Drosophila melanogaster: one gene and its partners. The protein of the gene in region 3 interacts with the protein of the main gene of each other region in a biochemical or structural test. Each region holds a gene or a part of one and is shown on either strand. Other genes may lie near its edges.

Region 1 (7,594 bases), on a different chromosome or scaffold from region 3:
TTTACATCGAGTCACGCCCTTTCATTAAAGCTACTCATCAATTTGAAGTGCCAGGCGCTTCAGTCATTCAACAAGCTTAAGGGATTTATTCACCGCATGTATACATTCGCATATAAATGCTACATGTATGCATTTCATTTTTTTATTACATTTTATTTCATTTATTTGGCAGAGGCACTCGGCAAACAATAAATGTCAGCCGCCTGGTGATAGTAACACACTTTGCAATGACAGATACATTTGTATCTGGCAGATACGACGGCAAATACAGAACAAACGCGTCTATCATCTGGGTCGGATTCACCAAATAAACCCACGAGTTTTGTGGGTCATTTTCTTTGTACGAGTATATTATGAAACAGCACGAAGTTCTTCATCCACGGTCACGTTGTCATCTCTAGATTTCGATGGTGGCTTCATTATTTGTTTGTTTACTATGTTGCACTCGGCACGTACGGGAAATAAAGCAAAGGAAAATTGCATAAATGCCCGGGCAAAGTGTCCATTGTTCTCTGGGCCCTATCATCCTAAACTCTCCTCCCATCCTAAACTCTCCCACATCTCCTATATGTGATTTATGAAAGCTTTTTGCCCGACTGAAATTATATTTGAAACAACTTTTAGTCAACAGCTTATCAATAACAATAATAAAATCCGGAAAAACCCAGATGTGACTCTAGAAACTCATTTCACTCGTCAGCGAATCTTCAAGTTTTTTTTGTCTCTTTCAAGATCAAAAAAAAAAAAAAAACGAAACCAAAAAACTGCAGATAAGTTACGTAAAAAGTAGCCGCAATCTCAAGCTGAAACTAAGATACGGATACAGTATCTTTATCTTAATTCCCAGCTGTATCTTGTTACTGTATCTCAGAACTGTTGCTTTTCACAGCATTTTTGGTTTATATATTTCTTTCGCTTCCGCTGCTTATTTGTGGGAGAAAAACTCTTCTCCGATAGCTGTTGCATATATATATATATATATTTTTTTATAATTTTTTCATTTTTAATCATTATAATATGGTTTGTGCAGCCCAGACAGATAATGCCGAGACATTGACCTTTTTCGCAGATTTTTTGTTTGTCTCTGGCCTTTTCTATTCGCCTCGCTTCTGGGTTCTCGGTTCTTATGTCTGCTCTCTTTCTTTGTTGTCAGATTAGCCGGCCAAGTGGATAAACCAGTTTTTGCCTCCGCCACTCTTCTTGGCTTGATTCTTGGCCCTCAATCCTCACTCTTTTACCCATGTTCATGTTGCTTGACTTTGGCTAATTAGCCAAGAGTGGAAGTTGTTGTCATGATCCCTCGCCCCGCCTCGAATTTCGTAACGTTGAACTTAGGAAAATCTTGCCATGCAAACAAATTAGTTGAAGTGGCGAAAAAACGGTCTTCAATGCAGTAACGACATTTTTTTTATCACAAAACACAATATATTCATAAATTAAGTAGCACAACTCTGATATATATATTTATATATGTAGATGTATAAGCTAAATGTTTCATTCCTACTGTGTGTTTCATACCGAAGTATATAGTTTTAAAATTTTGTAAGTCCCCTTTTGTTAAACCCAAGCTAACGATTTCACAATAAAAATGGATGAGTCCCCTGAGCTTTACTCAGGTTTTCATGACTCACGTTATACCTTATGCTTTTCGCCTTCTTCGCTCTTTTTGCCCCAACAATGGACTTGCTTTGTGGAAATAAATAGGTAGAATCTGAATTTGTATATTTACATGAACATACATACATATATGAGTAGCTAACTTAAGTGTAAAAAAAGTACATTCACGGCTATATAGATTGTTATTAGAGTCGGTTGAGTTTGAAACCTTGGCACCTGCAAGTGAGAATATTGCTGAAAGCAAACACTCTGGGTCACAAGAAAATCATTCTGTCAATTCGCTTGGAGTGACAATAGCGAAATTAAATTAATTATGCAAAGCAACCCCATTTGTTTAATAACAAAATACACCCACAGCATAGTTAGGGAGGCGAGAAAACCCAAAGACAATTACCCAAAGTGTCTACTAAAATTATAAGAAACCCTCTGTGTTCCACCCTCAAAACGATACCCTTCCCCTTCCCCCTAATATCCTTCACTCGTCAATTATCCTGGCAAAGTACGTAATTATTTTTGTTGCTCGAAGGGTTCTGGGTGAAAATGTTAACTTTGTTTCCGCCTGATTGAGCACTTATTCCAATGTTATTGTCTATGCGTCATTTGCAGCACCCTCGGCTGTATTTCATTTTAAGCCCCGATTGTTGTGGTTTCTTCGGTTGCCAGTGAGTCAAGTGCAGAAAAAAAACACCAATGCTTTATGTATTTTTAAATTAAAATATTTAAAAAATTATATGAAATAGGAACGGAAACCATTTAGATTACATTGTTAATCAATGTTAGTTTTTCGAACTTACCATTTACGATGATGATGAAAATGATCGATACGAATACAATGTTGAAAGCACATTTTGATGACATTATTTGCGATGGGGATCCAACGTGGATGGCTGTCGACTAAACAGAACTAGCACCAAATTTCTGCTTGCTTTTGTTTTATTTTTTATTTTTTTTATTTCCGCGAAGGTCGTTGATTGGTCTTAATAATTTCCTTGTGGCAGTAGTTGGTTGCGTTATTGGGCGGCACCTCGCACTCCAATCTTCGCGGGTTTTTTAATCAGAGCTTTGCACTTTCCATGCCATTTACAAATTTAGCACTTTTTGCATGGGCCATAAAACTTCGCAGCACTTTTTCGCACGCACGAATTATTTTTGCTATTTGTTGCAACTTCTTTTCGAGCTCTTGTCACGTACACTTTTCTTATATTTTTATTTTTGTTTTATTCCAATATTTTCTCGTTAATAAATTAAAAGCGAAAATAAAAAAGAAAAATCTTCTTTTTTGATTGATTTTGTGTGTTTATTCACTGGATTGTTTATTTCTGAAGGCAGAAGAGCGAGACATTTTGATTGATTTAATATTATTAAAAATATACTATTTAAATATAAAAATAGGCAATTTTATTTGTTTTATTGTTTTTTTTATAATTATGTTTTTTACTATTTACGCTATATTCATAAGTTCGGTATGCGTTTTTTCTTGTTTAATAAGTTTATGAATAGTTGGAAAACCAAAACATTAGCAATACAAACAAACATAAAATCACAACAAAAACAGCTATTGGCCTTTGCACTCACACAGAGGCAATGAGCAAGCGCGGAGAGGAGAGCAAGAGAGGGAGATGCAACAGAGACGACAAAGAGCGACGGAAGACGGAAAAGGAGAGAGCGACAGCTGCGGCGCAAACGCAACAAAATGCATTAAATTAATTATTGTTGCTTTTAAAACGCTTGTTGTTGCTGGCACAAAAGAACAACAAATCGATTTGTTTACAATGCTGTTTCAAAATAATTAAACAGAAAAATGTTTTCGTGAATAGTATTATGTGTAGTTTAACTTCGCAATAGGGCTAATTTAACAATGTTTTTGCATGTTTACTTATTTTCGTGTGCCTCGTCTTGTACTTCTTTCATGCTCTCTCTTTTATGTTGCTTCTCGGATTGCCTCTCTACATTTCTCTCTCTCACTCTCGTTTGCTATGTGTTGCCAGTAAATTAAATGCGTTGAAATGCAGCCATTTTGTCTCCGCAATTGGCACTCACTTGAACTCCGGTCGAATTTTTTGTTTAGCCACAATTCTCAATTGGCCAGAATTGGGGGCATTTTCTTTGATTAGCGCACATTTCTTAAGCCTGACTTGACGATATATATTTATTTTTATTCGCTCACCCGCTCGCACATTAGCACACACACACACACGAACGCACGCACACATGCAAACGCACGAACACGCGTCCAGCGATTTTCCGACTCCCACGGCGTTCCGAGATCCGTTACAAAGAGTTACGCGTCCAACTCGCTTGGTGGTTTTTTTTAAACTACCCGATTTCTCACCACATATACAAATGTACTTCAGTCTTAGAGTGACCAGTATCATAAAAAGAGATAATCTTTCTAATGCGTTAGTTTTCGTGTGCGTTAATACTGATATTGACGAGAGATGATACAATGACTCATCGTATTCACTATAGTATATTAATAATAGTTAGATTCATTAAATAAAACTTATTTAGGCAACAGCACTTACTTTTCAGCTAATTAAACATATTTAAACATTATTGATACTTACGCATAAGGTATACAGCAAATACAAATGTTATTTATGTTATTTAAATTAAGCTATTGCAAAATAATATTTTAAACTCTAAAGAGAATTTGTTTAATTGAATTAAAATTAAAATCATTTTGTTTTGTGAGCTTGTGTACTTCTTCGTTCATTTACATAAATTTTTTTTTGAACACTTAAATTCAAAAAAGGCGCCAAAATTACTTTATTTTGCAGCCCTCGTCCACTTCAACGAAAATATTTTTACGCCTGGTGGCAACCTTTATCATATGGAACCAGTGTTGCCACATTTGATATTTTAGATTTATAATGAAAACTATTAGAAATTTGATATATTTAACAAATAAGCTGTTTACATCAGAAGCTTGTTTTGTTGCTATGCTAATAAGCTGGATAGGGCCATTTGCTATGGTTATCTACTGATTTAAATTTGCCTATCGCTTACTGTGATAATTTGAGTATACGTTAAAATACAACCATTTTGAATCGCGCGCTCATTATTAACATGCTCGGATTTTTTAGTGATAAACTCGTTAAGACGCTCTGAGTTGTGTCACCTGGCAACACTTCGTCAGATGCTCATCGAGTGTTGCTGCGGGTGGACGTGCTCGCTTTCTCTGTCCGTTACCGTTACCTCGTGTCTGCGTTCACGTATCCGTGTGTCTGTCCGCGTTCCCCGTCCGTGTGTGGGTGTAGGTGCGAATGTGTGTGTGCCTTTGGTCGCGTGTCGTCGCCGCTTTCATGTAAACGAAGATTGTGCAAAAGGTAAACGCCAAACGGTGGCAACAACAGTAAATGATAAACAGAAGCGAAACAACTAGCAAGCGCAGCAACAACCACAACAACACAAACAGCAAAGAAGCAAGCAAACAAAACTTGTGAAATACTTTTTGTTTATTTTTTTTTTATTTTGGCCTGGTCTGGTGGCAAGTGGCAAAAGCTATAAAAAACGATTCTCGAAAACAGGTTTCCTGCGTGAGCGAGAGAGAGAGAGAGAGAGACCGAAGCGTTTACTGCAAACTAGAAGCTCAACTGCTGCCGCACAGTGGTCACTACAGTTCTAAGCTTGCCCCACTGTGCGCCCAGAACTTGTTTTCTTCTTCTTTTCATTCGATTCCCCTCCCCACTCCTTCGTTCCAACTGCAGCTAACTACTCCTTTCATCGGGCGTTTTAGAATGCATATTTGGTTTATGGGAAGCTCACATGCAGCGCCCCCCGAAATCAATACGGAAAACGGTTTTTCCCGAAAGAGCCGTTACTTTTCGGGAAAATCCCCATTCCACGGCACCTCGGCTCTGCCACAAAAATCAGCTGGCTCGGCAGTCGGCGCAGCTCTGCCGGCGTCGGCAGTGGAGGGACTGCGTCGGGCGCCTAGCAACAGAGGTTAAACCTCTGACTACAGGGACGGTTCACGCTTGGGCGGTCAAAATCTCGGGGAGCAACACGTTACATAAGGTGGCTGAAAGTTTGTCAACCTCAAGTTTGGTTACTTGTGTGTCTAGGCATTATGTGATTGTTAAAATCACGTGGCTTATACAATTGTGGTTGAATATCTTATAGTTTGCATTGTTTTTAAATTTTTTGAAAGTTCTTATAGCAGAATATTCTCTTAACCAGAAGATGAATAAAACAAAATAGTAAAAGTCCAAAAACGCTAAAGAGCTTGATTTTTTATGATACCTTACTTGAAACTTCCGAGATTAGCTTTTTGCCCCTCCCCGATGTTGAAGGACTTCGGTCCTGGTCCCTACCGCCGTCAGCTGTGCGCTCAGTGCGCAGGCGCCACACACACACACACACAGATGTGCCAGCCACAGGCAGCAGGAAGCAGGCAGAAGAAGAAGAAGAAACAGCAGGAGCAGCAGAGGAGGAAAAAGCGGACCAGCCTGCTGGTTAACTGCCTGACTTTGGCCCGCAAAATTGCATTGCTGGCGTCTCGCTCGCACGCACTTACTTCGGCAGTAATGCCGGAAAATGGGAAAATGTGAATGTGAATCGATGGTGGAGGAGGGCGGGCGGTGAACAGCGCGATGTGGGCCGAAGTTCGCAGTCGGCAGTCGGCAGTCGGCTTTACATAAGTTGACGTCCGTGGCAGGCGGTCTGCTCCTGGAATTTCAGTGCCCGGCTGCAGGTCCTTTGCTCAGGTTGTGTAGACGCGCTTTTCAGTTTTTCCGGTGGATCAGCTGCTGGCGCTTTGCAACTGGTTCGGATTTTCCTTAATTTTCTCTGCGCTACCCCTACTTACTTTTGATTTGTAAAGTTTTCTTTACTATTTTTGTATTATTTTTGGTTTTATTTTTTAATTGGTTCTGCCCCTGCAAACCGGCTGCAAATGGCCAAAAGGTTCGTCGACAGTTTTGTGTTTTTTCAGCTGTTCGGCTGGTGGAAGGCAAAAAAAAAAAAATAAAAAGTGGTTAGACCTCTTTTTTTTATTACACTTTAATTTGGATTTTTTGCCATTATTTATCTCATTTCTCAACTATTGCTATTTGCCGCCTGCGTGGGCCACTTTCAAAAGCTTTTTTTCGGGGCTTCCGTCGATTAGTTTTGGCTTTATTTATTTATTTATTCCGTATTCGACGAATCATAAAGCCAAAAAAACTTGATTTGTGCGCACGGCCAGCAGTAAATCAATTTAACAATATTAAATCGCTCGTAAAACCGTTTGAAAAAAAAAAACGTCTAAACGAATTTATTCCTACATATATATCCATATATACATATAACCATGCAGACGAAGTGTTAATCGACAAACAACAACAGCAACAACGCCGGAGAAAACAACATGTGAGAGGCGGCTCAAAAAGTTAATTTAGCCAGTCGAAAAGATGGCCGCCAGGATGTGCAGCATCGCTTCCATCGTCATCATCTAGATTTTAGATGCAGCAACAGCAGCAGCAGCAGCACTCACAGATACACACGCATACCAATGCCGCTGGCAGCCAGACACTCGCACACCAATACCAATGCCAGTCCCTCTTAAAGGTGAGTCGCACTTAAAGTCTTGCATTTAAAATACCCTGCAGTCGTAAAATTGGGTGAACCTAGAGTCCCTCGAATTTGGGAAGTCAAGTGCTGGACGTTTGCAGCACAAACGCTGTGAGCTTTGACCCCTCTTTAAAGTATTTTCAAATACTTTCTTACTATTTAGAACATTTGAAAAAAGGTGCTAATAACTCAACAAGCCAGTTCCTTGTGCTGAATCCTTAAATATCCTTATAAGACGTAGATTTCCCAGAAAATCGCTTTGTGATATAGCATATCATATGTATGTTTTCTATATTATAAAGTACATGGCTTATGGATTCCTTAGATGCTTTTGAGCACGATTAAAGCTTGATTGGAAATCTGCTACTGTGTGCCCAGCAACCTATCGAATTCGAGCCTTCCGTTGCCCTTTTTGCACGTTTAT
Region 2 (7,679 bases), about 10 Mb from region 3:
GCAAGCAACCCTCGGTATGGGAATCTTTAAGATCTACAAAGACCTTCTTCTTTAAAGCTATGTAGAAGATGTATAATACTATCTTGTCTGCAAAGAAGTATTAGAATTCTATTAGTAGTATCTTAGAATAGTTGTCAACGTGTAATTTTAACCATATCCTCAAACTCTGTTCTCCACAATATAATATGTACAAACATTCACTATACCCTCGATCCTTGCAGACTGGGAATACATATGGGAATACCTCCTCCACTATTGCTCTGTTTCTCAAGTGCTTGCGCAATTTTGGGTTCTGTTCTCCTGAATTCCCTTTTGTGTCCGCAGGATTAGTTCGGGTATTTATACATATGTATGTACATATATATGAAACACGACAACTGCTCCTCAAACGGCTCCTTCATTTTCCTTGGCCTGTCTGAAGTCCTTTCCCTTTTCTTTTCCTTCGAACAGCACTGCCTTTTCCCCATGACCCGTTTGCATATGTGTTTTCTAATTAAACATTGGCATTTGCTACAGTTTTTACTTAATTATGTGTATATTGATCGGCTATCGGCGATCGATGTGAAGAGCCGGGGAATTCTCAGCTGTCTTCCCATCGACAGCTGCCAATTTCTTGTATCTTTTCGTTTATTTTCTTGCACTTCGTCTTTTTTCATTAAATAAATCATACTATCAGTGCTGATCACTACAAACTACTTCCCCACACTTATCTTTGGCCCACTTGAGCTATTTCCTCTATTTAAATTAGTTTTGGCATTAGATTTCTCTATAAATATTGTTTAATTTCGATTTTGTTGAGTTGGAAACTATTTCGTTGTGTTTATAAATATATCTATGAGTTAAATTTATCTATTAACAGGCAAAGGTAGTAACTCGATCGTAATGGAGGTAGTTATGATAAGAGACCTATGGATATGATATATGTATGTATGGAAATTTGTGTAACTCGTATTTTTATCTTCACATTTTATTAGGTCTTATGGTATGTGATTTTCTTATCTTTTGAAGTGGAACTTCTAGAAATCATAAAGAACGTTATGTGTGAGGTTTTTTATTGATCACCTTTTCGAAAAGATTAATTATAAATTTCTTTGCATATATATATTTTTAAGAGCATATAATAGTTTAAATACTAGTTCTAGAACGAGACAAATTTAAAATTCTAAACCCCTTTCCCTTACTTGTTTTCCCTGAATCTGCTCACTTGCCGTGCAAAATGATCGTTTGGCATATTCATTAAATGCCTGCCTAGGTCAATTCTCCATAGACGAAGATTTCGAAAAGCCACAGGAATCTTAGGTTAAGGAACTGTCTGAAAGGTAAATCGCTGTGACATTCTCGAGACAATGGTCGAAAAAAGACAATTGTGAGGCCAGAGGGTAATGCGGGACTAAGAAGAAACCAGCAAAAACCGAACTATGATCCATATATCTATATATGTACGTATTCTTAAGCCAGATGTTCGTGGGAGACCGAAATGGAGAGATAAAAATTGCACCGCCGGACTTGTGGGGGCACATGTGCCAAATTCTAAATTTAACCACAAAATACTTTAAGAGGAGCAAAAAAGAAAATACAGAAAATAAAACAGCAGACTGCAGTTATCTCCCCCATCAAGGCGACAAATGCAAATGGAAGCAGCTGTCTGCTGGCAAAATATGAATATATAAAAATAAATAATCGTACAAGAAGTTCCAATCGATCCGCAGAAGTAGAGCACATCCTTATCAGCCAAGGCAACTGGCGCACGTCTCTTCTTTTTTTCGATTTTAACCTGGCACGTGGTCGGCTGGCTGGCTTCCTCTTTCTCCGCTTCGAAAATCCCTCTTCACCGTGTATCTGTGTATCTTTTGCTATGAATTTACACCTGGAATTGGCAAGCAAACAGAACGAAACCAATGGCAGGGGCTGCGCGGGGAAACGCACTACAGTAGAGCAAACCCTTTTCGGATCCTTTTTCCAACTGCAACCGCAGATGGACACCTTTCGTTGGTGATCATGATGGGTACAGTGGATATCGATAAGCGAAAAACTATGATACGCAATTATAATACATAAGTATTCATACATTTAAAAGAAAAAAAAGAAATGGTATCCTAAAAATAAGGTTGGTTTAGGGCTTGAAATAATATTGCAAGGATATTTACTCTGCATTTTTAATATTTCTACTTAACCTAAAGTCGATAAAAAATATTTCTATCCAATGATCACTGTATTCTTTGACAATTTTTGGGGTTGTTCGTTGGTCTCGATGTCTGCCGGTTCCTGTTTCGCCAACATCACCTTCTCCGACCTTTTTTGCATTTTTGCAAACTGAGCGAACAGGAGGGGGAAATCGGGTAAGCAGCAGCAGATGTATTTCCAGGACGCACGCCTGCTGCCAGGATGCTGAATATGCATTTCCACTTTAATATCAAAATTTAAATGCTTTCTGCCCCGTCTTGATCCCTTCCGATCTTGAAAATTGCATCTGCTGTGAGGTCTGCCCGGTTCCGTCTGTCGATGCAGGACAAAAAGGACGAGGATGAGGATAAGGAGCGCTCGGCGCAATTATCATCCTCCATCAATGGCAGCGTGGCATCCATAAAGGATAAAGGATGATCAGACGCCAGACGGCAGTTATCCTGCTGACCACAATGCTAAAGCTTAGCAAATGAGACCACAATAGCATGTGTCCCAGATCATAGGTACATTTTTTTAAATTCTGTGTAAGCTAATGGTTTCAAAACTGGGAATTGAGTTACAAACTTTCCATTTCATTTTATAATCTTTATAGTGCAAACTTAAAAAATCAAAACAAAAACAAATCTCGTTTCATATTCTCTATTAAAATAAATTGCACATACAAAATGGACAATTAAATGTGCCGAAAACAATTGGGAAAAGAAGAAATTTATTATTATTATCAAGAAACGTTTGGGAATTTTTTTTAATTCCCATGGAATTACTCCATACATACTCCAACTGAGTACATACATACACACATATGTATGTACGTGTGATATTTGGCCCACAAAGTTCACGATCAAAAGCATTAGGGCAATTGAAATAGTTTTCTAGTTATATGAGCCAGACCTTGTAAACCCTGCGAAAAAGAAAAAGAATTGCTTTGAACCTGGCTGAACTACACACACACTAAGGTGAGGAGAATAACTGTTAGTGAAGATCAGAGCACTATGGCCAAAATCCCAAATGCAGGCCTAGAGCAACAACAACAAGAAGCAGGAAGAGCAACAGCAGGAGAAGATGTGGAGGAATCCCTGATCAAGGTGCAGAGTTAGAGGCATAAAGGTAAATTATAAGGGAGGCTCTATACACGCGAATAGCAGGCACAAAGCGAAACCATAGTAAATAAGAAACAGCTGCCAGAGAGAGAAAGAGAGCGATGGCGTCTCATAATTTTCTCTCTTGAGCTCTCTTTTTCGCTCCATCCACGCTCAGGGCTGACAGCCCTTAGCCAGAAAATGGATAAATTTTAAATTATTTGAATAGATTGCTTACAAATTATAAGTTTAAATAAATTGAAGCATTTTTAATGTAATTTAGTTACCGTTTCTTGATTTTAATTAAATTGTAAAACAGGAAATGTTATTCAAATCTACAGCCCAAATTGTCACTAAACGTTAATAGTAATTATAAAAAACTTAAATTTCCAAATATGTCTTACTGGCATACCTAAACTTCTAAATATCTTGAAAACATATACTAAAAAAAGCCAAATCTGACGGGAGAATTTCTGCGCGCCAGTACTATCCGTTACTCTCCAGCTGAGCTGCGTCAGCGACGTCGCGCTGGTGCGAAGCTATAAAAGGCTGCACCACCGTTTATTTGTTGAAAAAAAACTCAGCGAAAGGTTGTCTCGAAGTTGTCGTCGTCGGTCTTTGTGTTTCGTATCGTTTCGTTTCGTTTGTTCCCGTTGCGCGCAGACAAACAACCAACCAAATTCAAAATGTTTTAACGGAAAACATTCAAATTCGAAGAAGAACTCTATCGCTTAATTTAATGCCAAATAAAATACGCAAGCAGCTTGTGCATTTTCATTAGCATTACGCGTGTTCGTTTAGTTCGTCTGTTTTAATTTAAATAACGAAATAAGAAATAATCCACTACCATGGGTCTATCGGATATACCAGCCAACTATATGCAGGGCAGCCATCCGCACCTAACTCTCCATCCGCAGCAGCAGCACCACCAGAATCAGCAGCACTTGCAGCATCTGCAACAGATGCAGCAGCTGCACAACGCCATGCCCACTCCCGCCCAGCAGGCCGCCCAGGTCCTGGCCATGGAGTCCAACGAGCTGCTCATGAGCACCAAGGACAAGCTCTCTAGCAAGAAGAAAATGCACTTGCTCAAGAAGATCAAGAAGCGCTTTGGATTGGGTTAGTAGTCGCATTAGTACCAGGCTAAGAATCGGGCTAAGGATATCGATGGATATATTAACAAGAATATTCAGTTAATTTCCAAGTCGTTTTTCAAAGGACGTACAATTCTCGGAATATCCAGGAATAATTTTTAAAATCAGTGTGATTGGGTTCTAAAGTAGATGTAGTACATTTTAACAATATAAAACTTCCTTCGTGATATCTGACCATTAAAGTCTTGAAGCAAATGTAATTACCGCGTGCGAAAATGCCTTAAATACATTATTCATCGATCTGGGAATCGTATTTTTATCTCCAGCGATATTCCCACATAATATTAGCATGTGGTCTGACCTATCGCTCTTTCATTCATTCGGTTAATTAAAGCGGCAAGATAAATAAGCGAGAAACACAGCCAGCCGCAATCATTTATGCATACATTAGCATTTTACGTCTCAAGAACAATAACAAATAACGAAAGATAAGAGCAAAAACCGAAAAAGTTTGAGTTAGTTTAAAACAAAAAGCTAATGAATAAATGCTCACCCAGAACACGCCCAGTTTGCGATTATAATAGTAATTGTTTTTTTCCGACTAGATAGACACAAAAGAAGCGCGAAAAAATCTTAAATGTGAAATTCTCTCAAGGCTTTTTCGGCAGAATTTAACATCGACACTCCGACTTTTTCGCCGGAAATGTCAGTTCTCGAAAACTGAATTTTTCAATCGCACCCAAGTAACCGCAAATTGATCGAGAAGACCAGATCGGAGGGATCTTGAGTTGAAGAAAATACCACCAAAAGCAATTTTCCCAAGGAGCGATTATGTTTATCATAACGATTATCTGGGCTGGGGAATTTGTTGCGCTGTTTTTGTTTTGGTTGCAAGCAGCTGAGCTAAGGAAAGACAAAAAAAAAGAAGTAAAAACAACAAATCACCTTTTTTTTTTGACTTTGGCTCAATTGCATTCTCGGCTTCAATGCTCTCTTTTTTGGCCAAAGCAGGCGAAGCAAAAGCAAAGCAAAGCCAGTGACGCATAGGCTAAGCTTCTACCCCTTTTTTTTTTATTTTTACTGGCCTCCTACGAACAATTGTGGTCGCACAACTAGCAGTCGAATATCAACGAACGACGCAATATGAATAATAAAAAAAAGTTATTAATTTAGTCCTTCAGCACTGGAATAGTTTTATTTGTCAAAAGTGGCTATGCAAAATATTGTACTGTATTTAAGAGATTCCATTTTTCCCGCCACCACTGTTTTTGCATCTGCCTCATTCAGTATTGCTTGTTGTTGTTGCTGTTGCCTTTCGGGGAATTGTACGCGAAGCGCCGTTGCCGCCATCGGCAAAAGCAAAAACAAAGGTAGCAACAACAGAAAAGCAAACGATCCACGGCAGGAGAAGAAGAGAAGAGCCATGGACTAGCGGGATGAGAAGAGGAAGAGGCGTGGCTTTGAAGCTTGAGTGTGTTTGGAGTTTTTATTTTTCTGCTGAGCGCTTAAGCCCGCAATGGTTTATGTTTTATGCGGCGGCTCCAGTCCGTTTGTTTTGAACGTGCGTTGCCTATCGGTAATCAATGAAATTGCTTTGTTGTTGTTTTGCTCGGCGTCAGCTGCTTTTGCTTTTTTGTACCTGCATTTTCTATTACATTTCGTACCTTGTTTGTTGTTGTTATTATTATTGTGTGTTGGCATGCCACGTTTGCTTTGGCTAAAAAGTTTATCTGCTCTTGGCTTTTACTTAGCTTCTCACGGTTTACTTTTCGAAATGGTTTGCTTGGCCGTGCGTGTGCTTGCAACTGAGCACTGCCAACTCGTCTTTGAGACCCCGATTATGGGACACACAAATACAAATTGTCGCCCGACCTTCGATTGTTGGCCAAAAGTAAATAGTCAATTGTTAATGACGGTACGCACCCCCCAAGGAAGTTTGTACATATAAGTACATATCTAAGTACAATGTTGGTCACCATAAATATACATACATTAACTTCTGAGACCTAAAATGTTATTCTATTAAGTTCAAAATATGTAAGTCGCCGCTTAAAAACAAATTTCTGTAAACATAATGTTTAAGAGACATTTTGCTAATATTGCTTCAATATTAACATATTATTGTTGATTTCCCAGTAAGCCATTTTCTGTTGAGCACAGTTGTATGCTGAGCATTTTCGCTACATACATCTGTTGCTATATTTTTCCACTTTCATGCATCCCCTTCGTTATTTTTTCACTTATTTTTCTCCCCCTCATGAGGTCATCATCTCGATGTGTCATTCTGAAGTTTGCGTATAGTTATTGTAGTATAGTATAGTTCATATAGCTGATATGAAGCACTGCTTAATTTCGCGCTTTGATAACGGACACTGCGAAATGTTATCTCTACAAGTGTAAACGTTTTGCAACTGATTAACTATAAATACCAGTTGTTAACTATTGGGGATATACACAAAGATGCTTGTGCTAACTTTGCTAGCTTTTTTCTAAAGAGCTAGCTATCTTGTGACCTATTTAGTGCCTCCCACATCTTTCGCTTATCAGTTATTGAACTAAGTTGGTAGCTTGAAGACGAGTACAGTGAACATCGGTTAACAAATCTTTTCGATTTATCTCACAATTCTAACCTAGTGTATAACTAAATGAAAATTGAAAATGAAAAGTATATTATAACCATTGTCTGTATCGCCTTAGTTCTCCTCACGACCCAAATGTGTAGTACAAAATTGTTAACATTTTGTCTGTGCCGAAAGATAAAAACGCACACCACCCCATAGATAAAGAAAAAATCTAAGTAGATACGCTACACCGCAGGGTGTTGCAACTGACGCAAGACAAAAGGTGGAGTTCAGGTAGCTACAGGTAGAAACATATAATATAGCAATACCACATAGCACATAGTATATACCTGGCCAAGAAATCAGCTGCAATTAACTCACGCAAAGTGAGACGAAAAGATATCCAAAGGCATCTTTGGGTCAATTTTGTAGGCCTTTCGGGAGGGCGTGTTTTCCAGACGGGTTAGGGCGGGCGATGTGCTGGTTGCTAGGCATAAATCACCGTCGGTATATCTACTCGGTTCGAACACCTACGGGTATTTAATCTATGCCTGCCTCTATGTCCAGCAGCAGCAGCTGTTCGGCTATCCATCGCTAGCAACTTGGCCAGATCGAGTTTTTTGGATTTTGGTTTTTGGCCTTTAGCGTTTGTGGCCCGAAATTCGGGCAGAACTTTAATGTAATTAATATGTACACCTATTTTGGGAGGAACCAAAACTAGATTGGTTTTAGCTTTGCATCTGTTCGGGGTATTTAATATG
Region 3 (7,674 bases):
ACAGGGGGGGGGGGGTTGCAGAAGGGTGCACGCAAAAAGGATGGATGATGTATGTTGCGCTTTCAATTTGGAGCAGCAGGACATCTGTTTTTCGGAGTTGGAGCTCCCAGCTCCACGCGGTTACCTGCCGACAGCCAACCGGTTTACAGGTGCTAACTTGGCTTTAAAAGTCGGGAGGGTGGCTAAAGGGGATCAAGGGGCTAAAGGGGCCTTAAGGGGCTTCGGGGGGTTAAACGGCGCGCTCCGGCGATCGAGAGGCTGCCGTTTGACTTTGCCCCACAGCCTGCAGGTTTTTCTTCTCACTGCTCCTTTTCATTTTTTTCACTTCGCCGTTGCCGTTGTTTGATCATAAATTTGTGTTTAATTTAAAAACTTTTCACTCTTCTCATGGCTTGAAAACTCCCGGTGCGAGTACTTTACTGTCAAATTTATTGCGCGAAATATATGTTTGTTTAAATATTGCCATTACAGTTGGACATCTTTATAGTGAATTGGCTTTGAAGATTAAAGTAATGTCTGCAAAATAAACTACACGAATTTAGAAATAAGAGAGTAAGCTGTAGTTTCTAAAAAGATAATACTTAAACATAGTAACACTTTAAATATTTACTTATTTTTAATAAAAGTCAATGATAAAATACATATAAATACATATTATAAAACTATTATTAAAATATGCCAAACTAAAATTATTATTTTAAAATTAATACTTGTTTCTTTTTTCAAATAATGAAGGAATTGCATATATTTTCTGATCACTTTTAAAGAAACTTCACTGTAAAAGGAATCGCGGCGGGAACTTTATAGTCGGACAGGAGAAATTCGGGGTCTTGGTCCGCATTTCCTTGTAAAATTGGGTGTTGACTTGATTGGTTTCGTTTTCTGGGGTCTCCTGTCTGGTCTCCTCCTGGTCTCATGCATATGCAAATGTCCCTCGTTCGATGCAAATTAATGAAGACCGATTTTTATTGTACAAATTTCAACAACTTTATTTCGCGTGAAGAGAGTTCTGGCCATGTTATTCTCAGCCCTTTGCCTTGCTGACCCATTTATCAGACCATTTCAATGAACTGCTGTTTTCGAGTGATTTACAATGTTTGATCAAAAAATCGAATCAAATTAATCTTGCTCTTTTCGTTAAGTAATTGGATCAATTTTTAACGAAAGTTTGGATCCAGAGACCACCGAAGAATCTAATGATTTGTTAGGAATAATAATAAAATAAATAGGTGTACAGACTTAGCATTTTTACCTTAAGATTTTTACAGAATAGAATGGAAGTACAAATTGGAAAATCAGGCCAGCTATTTAAAATTGTAAAGCCAAAATGAAATCGTAGTAGGCGAACACATCATATTCAATCTATTTTCATAAAAATATTTAGTTTAGCTCGATTCGGCATCGTCGGCAGTCCTATATCAACTAGAAAATATTTGGATTCAAAAAAAAAATTTTATTTTTATTTTTTTTAATATTCGTTGAAAATAAATGCAAGTATTAAAAATTATTACTATTACACAAAATGCTTAGAACAAAATTTATTGATTTTGAAATATTGTTTGGTTATATAGTTATTTATCGTTTATTTCAATAGAGATTCTAGTTCATTTGGTTATTGTGGAGCAAACATATGCAACGCAGTGAAGATGTTATCACAAGATGGTATTTCCGAGCCAATGGATCTTTGAGGCAGAGGCTTGTAAATATTTGTACATTCTGATCATATTTAATGAGATTCCAAACCTTTAGCTAGATGGTATCTTCAGCAATTTCCACCGAGCAGCTTGGACAATTAATATGTAGTTTATGGATCCTCTTTCAATGAATTTAGTATGCCCAAACTCGAAGGAGTTTCACCTCCATAAGAGCGACAGTCCTGGAGAAGTTATCAGAGCCAAAAAAATTCATATGATGATGCATTTTCCGTCTCTGAAAACGTCTTCAGCAGAAGTTGTTTTTAGCGAAGTGAAACTCATTCGATTTTGATCATACTAACGACATTGGATGCTTGGATCGGCAGTTTGGTGGAATATAAATACCAAGACCCTAAGACTGATGACGTACCTGCTAATGAAGATGATGGAGATATACTTGCATGCCAATTCAATAAGTTATAAGCACCCAATATAATAAAATTCAAATATTTATATTAAATACAAATATCCATCTTTAATTTTATTTTTGGTTCTCATCTTGGCAACAATAAATGTTGCTAAGCATTTTGCTTTCAACTTTCGCGTGAGCTGAATCGGTAAATTGAGCGAACCGGGAATCAAATGTTGCTAACGAAATGCTTACAAGCCGGTATCCAACTGGTATCTGAAACTGCTAGCAAAACGGGGAATCAAATGTTGCTAACGTAAACGAATTGAATTGATTTGTTTTATTTTAGATATAAAAATAAAAGTAGAATATCTAGAAATAAAAAATCCGAATTTTGAAGATTATTTAGAGACAATCTTGGAAATTTGTACAAATAAACACCCGTCCGGTTGAAGTTAAACAATATAATAAATTCTTATATCAAAATAAACTTGGTAATGTATATTGAAATTTTAAATAGTTTTTAAAATGTGTAAGTTGACTATTTATTCAAAACGGTTTGTTGCATTGCATCTGCTGAAATGCACTAATTTTGCCACGGAACTCGTTTTGAGAGCGAAAGAGAGAAATGAGAGAGCGAGTACGTTTCGTGGTATTTTTTAGTACGATTCGCGGCGGTGAAGGTGAATAGTGTTTTGGTCGTGGACATGAACGGCATTACGTTTTTCAACTCGGCCGCGCGAATAACTCGAAAAAGGCAGCTCCGCAGCCAAGGCATTTTGAAAAACACAAGTCCCCGACTCGAAACGCGACCAAATATTCGGTGTGTGACGCGAACTGCCAATGCAATAGTTCACTTAAGAATTGCAGATTACCGCGACTCTGGGCAGTTCTCATTCGATATTTGAATGTACCAAAAGAAAAGTGCCAGAACCAGAAATCAAAATAAAAGATCTTCTAACAGAATAACAAGAAGTGTTTCCTCCGAAAGATTAAAAAATCGCGAATGATTAAGAATCGCGGCACCGTTAGTTCCCTCTCTCGCTTTTCCCTTTTGCGCTTTTCTGCGTGAAAAGGAGAAGACTCCGCAGTTCGCGAAAAGAGCTTTTATTTCGCGACACTTAAAAATAAACACAGTCGAGGAAATTGCAACAAAAAATGTGGCGCGTGCACGTGTAGCTTGCAACAACGACAACAAGAAAACAACGAAAATGCTAAAAGCGAATTGCAAAACCATGTGCGACAAGTAACCAAAAAAAAAATTCAAAACATAAACACAATAAACAATTTGAGTAGTTGCCGCACACACACACACACACACACAGCCCGTGGATTATTACACTAAAAGCGACACTCAATCCAAAAAATCAGCAACAAAAACATCAATAAACATGCATTGGATTAAATGTTTATTAACAGCATTCATTTGCTTCACAGTCATCGTGCAGGTGAGTTTCAGTCCCAGGAAAAGCGCTCATTTTCCATCCAACAAGTTGTATTTTTTGGCAATTTATTTTCTTTATTTCTACGCGCACGCGTGCACTCACCGCTGAATTTTGCAGCTGGTGTGTTGTGCGCGCATGTGTGTGTGTGGGGCCAAAAGGGAAGAAACGATTGAAGGGTTGCCAGGTTACTAAATATTTTAAAACTTTTGGGGTTCCGTATGATCATCTCAAAATATCTATTTTGAAACCACTCCAACATCGCGTTTGCTTCCAAACTTATTTTTCAAGCTGGTAACCCGAGAACTTTTGGGTAGAAACAGCTGAGTTGATATTTTAAGCGGGTTGGCTTTTAGGGGTGGAAATTGTGGATCGGATCGTATCACCCTTTTCGGAACATGCATACATATTTCATAGAGCAAAACTAGTTTGGAAACATGCGAGGCCAATGCCCAAACAGGTCCATCCCCAAAAAATGGTTTAATTCTAGTACACAGCGGAAAAATATGAGGCATACGTTAGAAGAAATACCTTCAAGATAATTTTTGACATGCAGATCAGTTCAACTTCTTAGAAATCCTACTATGTGTACTAATTGTTCTCCGTGTAAAAACAGAGATGATCCAAGTCTGCCTCAACGTCAAAATTTACCACCAACGGCGTATGCATCCAGAGCAGCAGCAAAAAATGATAAAACTGCTCGATTTCAATATGAGGCTATATAGTAATGCTGTGCTACAAGCCCATGCTAAAAAGTTGATGATGCTGGGCAACATCTGCCGTTTTCGCCGTCATCTCCTCCTCTGTCCCTCCGCTTTGCATGCGCTTTTTACATGCGATTTTTTTCGGTTTACTTTTCGCTCTGCGTAGGTCAACGCGACACATGCTCAGCCTCACTTGCTCTCCCCTCCTTGCGTTGTTTCTCTTCTGTCATGCTTTCATTGATCTTTAACGCCAGCATCCCCTGGTTACACGGATAAAAAAAAGAGTTGTGCAGGGTTTCCAAACAGTGCGATCTCTAGAAAATAACACTAAATATTTTGTTGTTAATGTGTGGGTTAGTTTCAAAGATAAGAAAATATTAAATTATAATAAATCTTGACCATACATAGTATGTGTACATAGTATACATTTCATAGTTCAGAACTATTTAGCTACGAAGAAATTACAACTTAGATCCACAATATTAAGCTGATAGGGAGCTCTTTATTGATAATAGTACCCATTTACTCACCGTGCACCCTGCATGTGCTCCAATCCTCTACCGCTCTCCGCACTTCTTGATTTTCTCCCAACTTTGGCACGTTGCGTGCTTAAACTTCACTCTTCGACCAGCTTCTTTTTGCAGTCTGCTATTTAGTCGCTAATTTTAACAACGTCCCAAAAAAGTGTCTCGACGCCAACCTCCTGGGGTCTTGGGACTGCTGAAAATGCTCCCCGTATGTAGGCAGAAACATCTGCCCAATAATTCTGACTCATTTCCTTACTTACTTACAGGGAAAGGTGGAATAGTTTAATTTGTCATTTAAAATAATATCTCGGGCAATTAGCTTGCCATTAGCAATGCAATTTAATTCAATTTTCTGCCCATTCTATAAGGTATTATTCTCACAATTTCTTGGCCCTTTCTTGTCCCATGCTGCGTTTAAATTTCAATTTAACTATCAAATAACCGTAGTCGCCTTGTTTTCGCATTTATGCAATTTTCATATTAACATTGAGCGTCGAAGAAGTGAGTGAGTGAGCGAGTGAGTGAATGAATGAATGAATGAATGAAGACTGGGACTCGTGGGGGAGCACTCGTAGTCTTCTCGGCTCTGCTCTTTCTTCGCATAACATAATTAATTGCAATTTAGAAGCCAAAGAGGAAGACGACGACTACTCCCACACAATGCGATGGATGATTCACTTGCGCTTGTAACTGTTTCCCAAGCCCGTTGTTAACGGTTGATTATGATGATGAATTTAAATGATTAATAAACAACATGCAGGGTAGGGGCACCAAAGCAAACACCTGTAGGAAAGTCGAGGAAAAGTCGGGGAAAATTATAATAAAAATGCGTGCTTTCATACATTTTTATGTCCCCTTGTGTTGTTTTAACTTCTTCCCTGCTTTTTTTTCTACAACAACTGTCTGTCAGTCAAGGCAAGTTGACGTGGAAATGGCAAAAAATGAAAAGAAACGAAGAACTAACTAACTAGTCGCTTCAAGCCTCAGTGATCGCAGTAAAAATAGGAGTAGTGGCCAGTAAAGAGAAAGAAAACGAGAAACGGAGACAAAGAATGGCTCAAGCAAAAGGTAAACAATGCAACGCACTATTTTCTAACACTTTAACAAGTGTCTGTCTTCCATTTGAGAGGTTGGCAGCTCCAGCTTTCAAGTTCCACCTGGCGAAACCCCCTCGTAGATCCCCCCCACAAGTTTTACCTTTCGGTTATTCAGCCGCTGTGGAGTTCATAGTTGAAGGCAAAGGCAAACAAAAAGCGGAAGGAGAACCATTACCAGTGTACATATGCCAAAGTTATGAGGCGGATTGTGCAAGGTGTAACTGAGCATTCAACATTTTGGAATTACGATAAAAACAGTCGGAAAAGTTAGATCAAAGAGAAATATATTATATATTTTACGTTATTAGAACGAAAGTTATGTTTTTTAAATGCTAATTCATCATATTATCTACTACTTGTCCCTTTAAGAGCTTGCTAATACTAACCGCATACTTGGAGGGACTTTAAAACAGTGTGAGAAACTATAACCAAAATTGGTGTCAAATGGTGGACAAAACTATTGTGGTTTTAACGATTGCACTTTTTGTTTTGTTTTGCTTGTGCTTCCCACCATCTTTAGAGTGTGTGTGAATGTTTGTTTGGTGTTATGCAAATTGATTTGCTTGTTGTTTTGTCTTGCTTTTTTTGTGTTGTATATGTTGTGTCAACTTCTGCGCCTTTGTTTGTGTGTGCGCTTTTCGTTTGTCCCATTTTGTTGTTTATAGTCTAGTTTAGTTTGGCTTTCCACTGGACACGCCCCCCTGCCCGCCGCCTCCCACCTTTCTAACCTTCCTTCCACTCAATGGTTTTTCTCCCTCTTTCTCTTTCCCTTTTTTATTGTATTTCTTTTATTAATTCAGACGCATCGTTTGGCTTGATTGTCTATTAATTCATTTTGCCTGCTTCTTATTCTGTGCTTTTTTGCGCATATTTATGCTCCTCTTCAAAGCGCCGTTGAAAACAAGTTTTTGCTCTGGGAGAGCCTCGCTCTCGTGCTCTCTCTCTCTCTTTGGAGCAGCTGGCAGCTGCAGCTTGTAAGCTTGCACACACACACCAGCAAACACGCGACTCCAATTCACTTTTAAGTCACGCTTTGCTCTTTTTGCGCTCAGCTGACAACAACAACTACCGCTTTAGCTCTCTCTCGCTCTGCGCTAAACTGTTATAGCTTGGGGCCTCTCTCTCTCTCTCTCTTTTGGCGATCTTTCAATATGGCTGCATGCACTGCTCTTCTTCACCTGGCGTTTATTCGCTTACACCTTTTTACTTCTGCTCTCTCGCTCTTCGCCCAAGCGCTCCCCTTCTCACCCTCTCGCGCTGTCTCTTTTCCTCGTTTTAACCATCAATGTTGACCGGCAAAATCGTATGCCGTGGGAAACAATTCGGTTTTACTTGTACATTTTTTCATCGTTTTTCTCCGACGTTGACGTCGACGTCGGCGTCGCTGCCTGTTGCTGCTGCTTCTTTTATTTAAGTTTTTTGTTGTGTGTGTTTCTTTTTGTTTTGCTGCTCTTTTGCGTCCGTTTTGTTTTTGTTGGCTGCTTATTAATACATACACAGGAAAAAGAGTAGATTAAGTATTAGCATGCCTTTGTATAACATTTTGATAGGTGAACTGTTCACTTGTTGTACTTAAATACAAATATTAATTAATCTGTTTAATAAGAAGCTAAAATATTAGAACTTTGATTTTACACTTAAAGTAGTAATACAAATAAAAGTATGGTTATATCAGATCAATATTTCTTTCCGTACAATGTGTTTGCGCCGCGTTCGTTGCCTAAGTCTTTCGTTTGGCCGCTTACATTCGTTGAATGCGCCCTCTCTTTCGCTCCAAATTCCCTTACAATTACAATTGGAAAAGCCTTTGAACAATGTTAGCGCCAGCTTTGGCTCTACTTTTCCGGCTGGGCATACGATT
Region 4 (10,019 bases), on a different chromosome or scaffold from region 3:
TTGATATTCACCTCGCTATTTATCGCTCTCTCTTTCGCTCTGTTGCACTTTCGCCTCTCTGTTTTAGTAAATTTAAAACTTTTCAACGAATTTCAATAAAAAACACTTTCTTTCTTTCCTTCGCTCTTGTTTTTGGTTGCGCTCATTCTTTTACTTCTTTATCCGCGTCTGCTTTTCGCACACAGCTTCGCAGCGTTTTATTTATAAACGCCCACACAGACACAGCACTCACACACACTCTCGCACGCACACTAGCTCGGCCGCTGGTGTTTTCGTTATTTCGTCTCGTTATTTATTTATTTTTTTTATTTTTTGCCATTAATTAATCGCGCAAAATAACAAAACGCGTGTGTACGTCGAAAAAAAGTAACAGGAATAGCGCAAAAAACAAAACGTGTGATTAGTGTGACCGCGGTGGATGCGAGACTTATTACCAAGTGCAAAGAAAAAGTGGTAACATTTCGTGTTTACCTTAGAATCACAGGTTGAAGAAAGGCTTGATTATAAGTTAATTACTTACAAGGAGAATGTAGAATTCTATAAAAGGAGCTTGTTTTGAACTACATAATTATTTTCATAGATTTCCAAATTCGATAATCAAAGGTCATACTATCTGGTGCAATTTGGGCTGCCAACTGTGGTCAAGTTAATCTATAAAATTCTTGATTCAAAATGCAATTTTAAGAACATTTTATTTCAAATTATATCAAATCAGATAAAAAACAAATGTCCATGAAATGATTAGGTTAGTTAAGGATATTTTCAATCAAAACACTATAAGAAATAGGACAAGGGAAGCCAAACATAAAATAAAGCCAAATTTAACTATAAACTAGCTTAAACGGCAGTGCAAACAGTTCATCTGGTCTGGCAACTCTCCGCCGAATTGTTGTTACGCGAGCGATTTCTTTGGTCTTATTTCTAGTTAAAATTATCAAAGAAATATTATAAAATGTTGGCCGTACGAAGTTCCCAGAGATTGGGCCTACGGTAGGCCACCCGTCTAATTTGAAATAACCAAAAGAAATCCGTCACTCGACTATTTATTTTTCAGTTCCCTGCTACCGTCTGCCTTCAAAAACGTGGGATTGGTCAACTACTCCTCTTCGCAGTCCAAAAACGACGATGGATACTCCTCTTCGGACGACGAAAAGCCCACGAAGAAGAAGGAGGAACCTGTGGAAACGGCGGCCCAGCGGCTGAACCGCCTGTTGGGCACCATGCAGGCCACGGATCAGCTCTCGGCATCGGACTTTCCACGTCCTGGTGATGCCAACAGGAAGCGGAGGGAGGCCCAGAAACAGGAGGCAGCCGCCAAGAATGTTCTAACTGCGGCCAAGAACATTGCTAGCATGCTGGGCACCAGTGAGAGCGACAAGAAGCAGACAGAGTCTGAGCTATTGGCCAAACTCCTTGGCCATGGAAGCGAGTCCTCTTCAGCAGCGACCGGAGAAAATCAGACGGCGGATGTTTCGGGATCTCCTTCTGGTGATAAGGAACTCAATCTGAGGTGTGTAAAAATGATTTTCTCGCATTAATGGATAATCTAATAAAATTTATTTTCCTTACACAACAGTGATATTATCGTGGGCATGAAGATCGATCGTCGTCAGCAGCCGCAGCAGGTGGAGCAGACCCGCGGCGAGTACGTTCGCCGCTCGCTGGCTTCCAGATTCAAGCCACAGAATCGAGATGGGGCTTATCAGCGGTCACAGAGGCAAACCAAACGAGAGGCTGAATCCTTTACGGGCAGTGTCAATTTGTACGGCGGGGAACCGTTGGGTATCTTCAAGGATACCCAGCTGCCGATTTCCAACGACATCCTTTCAACCTGGTCACAGCTGAGTGAGCGGGAGCTTAGTTTACAAGCTTCCCATCCCCCGGCAAACTACTTCGAGCAAATGGTCCTGTGGACGGATCAAAAGAAGGTGTGGCGCTTTCCCATCAACAATGAGCAGGATTGGGAGGACGAGCATAACGTGGACTTCTCGGAACACATTTTTCTGGAACAACATCTCGAGGATTGGTGTCCTAGCAAGGGGCCTATTCGCCATTTCATGGAGCTCGTCTGCGTCGGCTTGTCCAAGAATCCCTACTTGACTGCCCAGGAGAAGAAGGATCACATTTTCTGGTTCCGTGACTATTTCCAGGCCAAGAAGGACATTCTGAGGGATCTGATTAGCAAGGAGCCAAGCAAAAGTATTTCTGCTTAATGTTTTTGTTTGAATATTTGTTAAAAATATATTTTTGCTTTATAAGACCAATCCGATATATAGTTATATATATGATATTGTGTGTGTATATATGTGTGTATAAGAATGTGAGTCCTTTAAATATCCTAATACTTCGAAGGCTGTGCAGACTGTGCGCGGAATGTGTGAACCGGGAACGGGCTTCAGAAGAGCAGGATGCGTTTTTCCACGGTCTTGCGGCAAATGGGACACCCCTCAATCTGGTCGCCACACATCTGGCACGTGCCGTGGCCACATAGGAAGACCATGTTCTTTATGCGGTCAAAGCAGACAGGACACATAGTCTATAAGATAAATTTGAGGATCAGTCACTGAACATATTTTCAATCTTATTTGAGCTCACCTGTTCCTTGATGTCCTGCAACTGCTGCTTCAACTTTTGGACATCATCCATCTGGAAGTTGTTGACATTGGAAGGAGCCACCATCGCGTTTCCAGCTGCTGACAGATTCGAGACATTCGAAGAGGCTGCTGCAGCGGCCAGGAGATTATTCTGGCTATTCAACTGATTGCTGCTGCCCGCCACTGGAGTAACCACGGTGTTGTTCATGGCCACGCTATGGCCGGAGGCATTGGCACAAGCTGCCGCTGCTGCAGCTTCCATGAAACGATCGTCGGGCAGTGGCAAGCCCACTGTTGCCATCGCTCCAGCTGCCACGGACACCTTCTCCGGTCGTCCACTACCTCCGCAGCAAAGGCTGAACGATAATATCTCATCGATTTGCGTGCGACACAGGACGCACTTTTTCATCAAAGCACTGCAGTGCTCACATGCGACCATATGGCCACAGGGGCGGAAGAAGACGGCTGCCCTGCGATCCGAGCACACCAGACACTCGTCGATCTTTTCGCGCGAGGAGACGGTCTCCCGACAGATGAGGCATTTCTTCACCCTCGGAGCGCAGGTCTCGCAGCAACTGACATGGCCACAGGGCTTAAAGACCGTATCCCGCTTGGCATCCGAGCAAACCAAACACTCATCAAGACTGGCTGACGATTTCGGAGGATCCTCGTGCAGGGACTGGCTCATTTCGTTGGCGATGCCGTTGAGGGCAAATATGGAAGATGATGAGGCAGCTGGGAAAGTGGATGAGGCAGCTAGGCTGGAAAGCGGCATATTGACTGAGGAGGACTGATTTAAGCTACCACTGGCTGCTCTTGCCCTGGCACTCGAACTCGTTCCAGCTACATTTCCGGGCAACTCAGAGTCGTCGGTCTTCCTTTCGTTGTAGCACTTGACCAGGGTCTTGCAGAGATTGGGATCTGGGCACAGGTCCAGTGGGGTCTGCTGCTTGCGATTCTTTAAGGTCAAATCAGCTCCATTGGCAGCCAAGAAGCATGCAATCGAAGCAGAGGCCTTCTTGTTATTAGCATTTCTCAGGCCCATCAAGAGCTTACCAAATCCTTCCACATCTTGCAGTTGCTTCAGCTGCGACAGAGTGTGATGTCGCAACGCTTCATGCAGCGGAGTATCCCCGTCTTTGTCGGGTATGTTAAGATCTGCCCCATCCTGCACCAGCAGCTTGACGATTTGCACATGCTGACGCTCCACCGCAAGATGCAAAGCCGTCTGGAGATTCACATTTTGCCTATCCATATTGGCCTTACCCATATGCACTAGTAGCTCAGCAATTTCAACGTGGTTGTTAAGTGCTGCCAAGTGCAGAGCTGTGTAGCCATCATCCTTCTTCTCTTCCACAATCCAAGGACGGTTCGTCTTGGTCAGCAGGATCTTCATGGCACTAGGATTACCCTTGAGAGCAGCATGATGCAATGCATTGAATCCATTATTGTTGTTTAGCGTGATGTCGGCCCCGAAGTCCAGCAACAGGGACAGCATCTCGTCGTGCTCCTTAGATATGGCATCGTGTAGGGGTGTATCGCCCTCGGAATCTTGCAAACTAGGATGGCAACCTAGCGTTAGAAGCGTCTTCACTACGTTCAAATGGCCCTTATTGACAGCAATGTGCAGAGACGTCTGCCTGCGCTTATTGCGCGCATTTAAGTCTGCCCCGGCTTTGGCCAATATCTCAATCACCGCCGCCTCATCACCAAAGGCGGCATGGTGGACAGCGCGATCTCCGTCCTTGTCCTCAATTTCTACGTCGACGGCGTGCCGGAGTAGTACCTGTATCACCTCAATATGGCCATTCTGGCTGGCTGCTTGCAGAGCAGTATGTCCGGCAAACACACCATTCACATTGACATCCGGTCCAGAACTGGGCGAGGCACTGGAGGTCGAGGGTTGAGCTGCGCCAGCCAAGTACTCCTCACAACGTGCCTGGAAATGCGGTTCAATTTATTTGATATCAAGTGCTAAACGTATTTTCTTGTACTTACTGCAAATCCATTGGCTGCTGCCTTGACAAATTCCTCAGTGGCATCGCCGGAGACATTTGGTTCGAACAGTTTTTTGAGAATGGCCGAAAGACGTTCACTACTCGGGATAACTGGAGCGCAGCTCCCATCGGAGGCAGTTGAAGAAGCCACCTTGCAAACGGCCAGCGGATTGTAGGTCCACGAAGTATTGCCCACCTCCACTTTAAGGTCGTTATCATGATAGACCTGTTGCACGCGGCCGATCTTTCCCAGAGTCAATTGCATGGCGTCAGCCCACTCGCCGTGTCCTCGCTGCAAAATCTTGATGCTCTCCACATCGGAACAGATCTTGACAATGTCGCCCACCTGAAACTCGGGCGGAGCAGTGGTTGGCGAGGATACTTTTGTAAGGACAGCTGGATTGAAAGTCCAGCGATTGCCGGAATTGTAGGCCACCACAATGTCGTGATCCTCATCGATGCCCACGACCATTCCTGCGTTGCTTAGGCACTCGAACATGCCATCGGTCCAGCCGCCATGTCCATGCTGCAGAGACTGAACGATTTCTAGATCTAGATCCACTGTAACCTTGTCGCCAATCTGAAAGCCATGCGGTCCTTTTCCGGGTCCGTTTTCGCCCAATAGTGGCAGATGATCCCGGTAAACATTACTACCCTTGGCATCGTTAACGACCTTAAGATCTGCCATGCCCTCAAATCCAACGCGGTACAGATTCTTGGAGCCATTGTCCCAAATCACGTAGGCTGCCGATCTTGGCGAGGCCGAAGACCAGTCCTGGATCTCGTTGACCTTGCCACGCCGACCAACGCCTCCGTCCTGATCCTCCCACTGCCAATCCACGCCGCGAACGACACGAGCTCCCGGAAAGATGCCTCTGGCGAGCACTTTCTTGGACTTACGACGCGGTTCCAGCATGGTTCGTTCACCTCCCGGCGTGGTGATCCTGTAGAAACGGTGCCTCAGATGATGTTTATCTCCGTGGTAGCAGATGGAGCACAAATCGTAATTAATGCACTCGGCACACTTCCAGCGGATGCCAAAGATCGGTTGCTGGCGGCAAGTGTCGCACATGGTGCCCTCGTGCTTTACTCCAGTGGGTGCACTGTCCAGGATGCGCAGATCATAGGCTCCGGCGCAGCGATAGTTGGCAGCTGTTCCATTGTCCCAGACCACGACCACCTCCTCGGCGGATTCGAAATTGCGAACGGTGCCCACGTGTCCTTCGCCGCCGTCCTGAAGAGAATCGAAACGAAAAAATATTATATTTGTAGTGACTCAGTCCATCTTTCGATTTTCCATTTCGTAACCCACGCTGATTAGGATGCGAAAGCTATAGCCGAAGTGCATAATAGCAACTAACTAAGTGTTAAGGTAGGTAGTCGCTACAAATTCGTTTGGCTATCTCTAAATGCGATCAACGAGTCGTAAAATAAATAAATATAAATAAAGGGAATGAGGGTTTGCTTAACCTCCATTTCTATGTAATAGGGTTCTATTTGTTCAGCGATTGCAAGCAGCTCATTGAAAAAATTTCGGTTTAACATTTTATAACTTATTTGAACTAATATTTTGCTAAACAACTAATACTGTTAATACTTGAATGTTGAAATGCTGCAGCATATTGTAAATCCACTTAAATTTTTATCTGCATTATGATTAGTCAAATAATGCCACTGATTATGGGCTTGGATATTTCATCATGCTGGTAAATCTTCATCGAATCAGTTAAAGAAATTGTGTGCGGAAATGTCTATACTTTAATCTTGCCTTTTTTGTATCTTTCTGCACTTTCAAATCGTTTTTCCGGGCTAAAGCAAACAGACTTTCAAAGCTTGCATCAGAGTTATGATGTATGTATGAGATATGACTCACAAGCCATTTGTTAAGACATAATTAGCCAGCCAAAGGTTACACATATTAAATGTAAATGTAAGCTTGGGAAAAGAAGAATTGAGTACACGAATAATTTAAAGTGTTAACTGAACATGCTCAAAATATACATACGCTATCATTTTTGAGTAAATTGAAATACTTTTTGGTCGTGCACTTTGATCTCACTTAAATTGCAATGCTATCAATGTAACAACGATAAATATTTAAATCTATGAACTGGATTTTCTCAGTGCACCGAAGTAGGACTTTATACCCACTTTCTAGGATCACATGTGTCCCCATTGGGATTCTGGTTAGTAATGCGAAAAGAGAAACTTGACTAGTTTGGCCAGATGTCAAGAATCGAGTTGAGGTGTGCAATTAAATTAATTGATCGGTCAATTGAGAACGGGGAGAGTTCTTTTTTCACTGGAAGTTAAAGCAAAACCAGCTGGGACACCCCCTTCACCCTGCCCACCTGTTTGTTCCATTTCCAGTCCGGTCCGCGGATCACCCTGGCACCCACGCCCTCCATGGAGAATCTTCGGACGAGGGCCGCTGCCGAATTGCCGCCGCCGCCCGCTGCAACGCCACCGGCGGCTGAGGCGGAGGACGAGGAGGTGGTGCCACCGGGAAGGGAACCACCCCCACCTCCTCCCCCACCAACACCAACACCTGTGCCTGCTGCACTGCTCACTACCACACCCACAGCTGTGGACTGTGTGTTGGTGTTAGTGTTGGTATTGCTGTTTGTCGGTGCTCCTCCTCCTCCACCACCACCACCACCACCACTGGCATTTGCATTGGTGGAGTCCTTGGCCGACGAGAGGGTGGCCGCACAAGACATTTTACCACTCCGCAAGGTCGCTGGGCGGGTGGACTTCGCTTTCCACGGTATACTGCACTCTTTCGTTGGGTAATTCACGTTTAAAATCGGAGTCGCTGCTAAACACTCACGGAATTTTTACAACCACCGAAGAATGTGACCGTAGTCGCGCAAGCGATAGATCTCATGCGGTGCGATAGATTAACAGTGTGACGTTACGCAGGAAATTTCAAGTGCAGTTGCTGAACTCTGGTCACTCTATGCCGCACAGTGGAAAAAGTGCGAAGAGTTGCCGCAAAAATGTAGCGATTGAATGTTACCAATATAACGGTTTCTAACATTTGTAGTTTCTACACGATATTTTACTTTACAGCTAATGTAGATACACGAGTAAAACTACTTTAGTTTAGTAAACTACTTAAGCTACTTAATCGTAATTTTGACTACAAAAATATGCTCCTATTTGTTTTCATAAACAATTCTGCAAGGATTTATAACAACTCTATTTAACTATATTCAACATTTAACAGACAGCCCTCTTATAAATAACGTTCCGATTTTGATGATAACTAACTTAAATTTTTTCTGTGAAAATAAGATTGAGTTGACTTTCAGTTTTATTTTATAATATTATTGGGATGGGTGTCTAAGCTTACCTTAGTTTAACGAAAATCATTTCATCCATCAGAAAACTAGAGCCGCGTTTGGTAATTAAAATCCTTGCTGCCTAAACAGCATGTATAATTGCCACCGTAAAGTATCAATCACAGATTTGAGTAATTTCCAAGCGTCCCCCATTGGCCGCAACTAATCAGTTTAATGGCCCGAAATGGCCGGACTCAAATGATCTGTTAGCGGGCGAGATGAAAGGCCGGCACGGACAATAGTGAAAAGTGTCCTCGTACATCAGAGACATCAGCAGACACGCTTCTTCACTATGGGCCTAATTGCTTTAAAATAAGCCACACCCACGGTGCCCGAAAATCCATCTTGCACGCACATTACGAGCCCATCGATCGACCGTTAGGCGGCAAGTGACTGCATCTCGGACCTTTTCCTTTTGGTGGAGGAGGAGGATTGAGCGTGCGGGCGGCCGGCGGCTTTGATCTTAAGGATCAGAGCGGTATAGGTATGGATATGGCATAGTATATGGATATGGTGTATTGTAGGGTATGGAGTGGTGGTATAGTGCGGTGTGCGGGGCACGCTTGTCAATTGTGGTTGGCTTCAAAAGCGGCTTACTTAGCCCCATGTCCCGATACCAATACCGTTTTCAATCCCAATCCCAGTCCCAATCGCAGTCCAAGTCGCTGTCCCAGTTCCCCGGGCGAATGAAGTGTGTAATTTGAAATTAGCTCAGGCTCAGCGGCACCTTTTGAGCCCGGCCGACTTGACTTGGTGCACCTGCTGCTGGCGGAGATTGTGATGCTGATGCCGTTGCTGATGGTGGTGATGGTGGTGTTGGTGATGACGGTGATGGTGCCATGGCGATGGTGACGGTGCGGCTGTCCTGCGGCGGCTACTTAGTTACGCAGTCGCACCGCAGCGTCAAGGCCACATACCGTCGTCCCCCGCATCTCGTCCAGCTCAGTTTGATGCACAAAGAAAAATAAGTAATGCATTCGGCTTTGCAATTATGTAAACTATCAAAAATTATTTATTTTTTACACATATATAATAGTTTTACATTCATTATTCAGGTTGAATAATAATACACCATAATATCCATTGAAATATCCTATAATTAAAACTTTTTCCGTATAGTTCCCTATAAAAAAAACGTTATATAGGCGGCATTAAAGTAAAATATATTGATTAATTTCTGTATATTTTTAATTAACCAGTAGATTTAAGCAATTTTTAATCTTCTCTAATTTTTATCTAATTTATTTTAGATATTATAAAAATACGCGCAATGATATGTCAAAAGCACCAAATGTTTCGTACAGTGCATCATTTCATTTTCGATTTCAACTCCATTCAGCAAATGAGTGCCACAGAGATACATACATATATACGCAAATTTATGGCCGCGCATATCTGTATGTACACTTATAATGTGACTAATTTGCGATCTCTCGATTTTCCAAATCCCAGACTCATCCAATCTGGGCTTCAATCTTCTATGCGTGCATTAAGTAGTCGAGTGGGTTTGGTGGAGGGGGTGCTAATCAGGTTTCTGGCCCCAAATTGATTTCATTTTCATATTTCAATTTCGAAAGACGGTAGCCGGAGGTCTGTCGAAAATGCAAAATCAGTAAGACCAGTAGTCGCGACATGATATAAATTAACTGTTTTGACTTTGTGAAATGAAATGCCGGCCTCCTTTGAAATGCAAAAGGCCGCAAACGCGAGAAGGCGAAAATATTGAAAATAACAGCCAAATCGATTTCTGGCTAAAAAAAAAAAAAAGAAAATAAAAAAATTCGAGAAAAACAAAATAAAATACCATTCAAAGTGGCTGCGAGTTGTTTTTATCTCGTTAGAGTTGCCAGCGCGCCGATTTCTTTTCGACTTAAATGGTTTATGTGCGTTTGCAACCAGTTTTATGGACATCGCCTCCGCAGCCTGGCGGAGCGGCCTGATTATATATCGATGCCGCCGCTGGATTTGCGGGATGCGGGATCTTGGATCTTCGATCTTCAATCTTGCTGGATGTTGGATGCCGCCAGATTGAAGCCAGCTTTACATTTAGGTGGGATGTGGCCGGCGCCTTTGATGCAGCGCGT

Evidence for each region.
Region 1: of the proteins of Delta (region 3) and kuz, one has a biochemical effect on the other in vitro, tested with the Drosophila melanogaster proteins (one study listed by BioGRID).
Region 2: of the proteins of Delta (region 3) and neur, one has a biochemical effect on the other in vitro, tested with the Drosophila melanogaster proteins (one study listed by BioGRID).
Region 4: of the proteins of Delta (region 3) and mib1, one has a biochemical effect on the other in vitro, tested with the Drosophila melanogaster proteins (one study listed by BioGRID).

What each region holds. Positions count from the first base shown.
Region 1 is NT_033779.5:13,546,484-13,554,077, reverse strand, and holds the start of kuz (kuzbanian), read right to left. Parts: upstream 3,940-7,594; 5' UTR 3,785-3,939; exon of another isoform or gene 3,658-3,784; intron 2,937-3,657; 5' UTR 2,476-2,936; coding exon 2,412-2,475; intron 1-2,411.
Region 2 is NT_033777.3:9,029,882-9,037,560, reverse strand, and holds the start of neur (neuralized), read left to right. Parts: upstream 1-3,829; 5' UTR 3,830-4,111; coding exon 4,112-4,382; intron 4,383-7,679. UniProt on the Drosophila melanogaster protein: Involved in neurogenesis. Interacts with other neurogenic proteins in the specification of the neuroblast versus epidermoblast cell fate.
Region 3 is NT_033777.3:19,321,299-19,328,972, reverse strand, and holds the start of Delta (delta), read left to right. Parts: upstream 1-2,755; 5' UTR 2,756-3,434; coding exon 3,435-3,491; intron 3,492-7,674. UniProt on the Drosophila melanogaster protein: Acts as a ligand for Notch (N) receptor. Essential for proper differentiation of ectoderm. Delta is required for the correct separation of neural and epidermal cell lineages.
Region 4 is NT_037436.4:16,004,338-16,014,356, forward strand, and holds mib1 (mind bomb 1), read right to left. Parts: upstream 7,476-10,019; 5' UTR 7,312-7,475; coding exon 6,943-7,311; intron 5,973-6,942; exon of another isoform or gene 5,940-5,972; coding exon of another isoform or gene 5,904-5,939; intron 5,826-5,903; coding exon 4,593-5,825; intron 4,534-4,592; coding exon 2,596-4,533; intron 2,537-2,595; coding exon 2,396-2,536; 3' UTR 2,215-2,395; downstream 1-2,214. Other genes in the region: mRpS31 (mitochondrial ribosomal protein S31), read left to right, coding at 953-990, 1,055-1,510, 1,577-2,213. UniProt on the Drosophila melanogaster protein: E3 ubiquitin-protein ligase that mediates ubiquitination of Delta (Dl) and Serrate (Ser) receptors, which act as ligands of Notch proteins.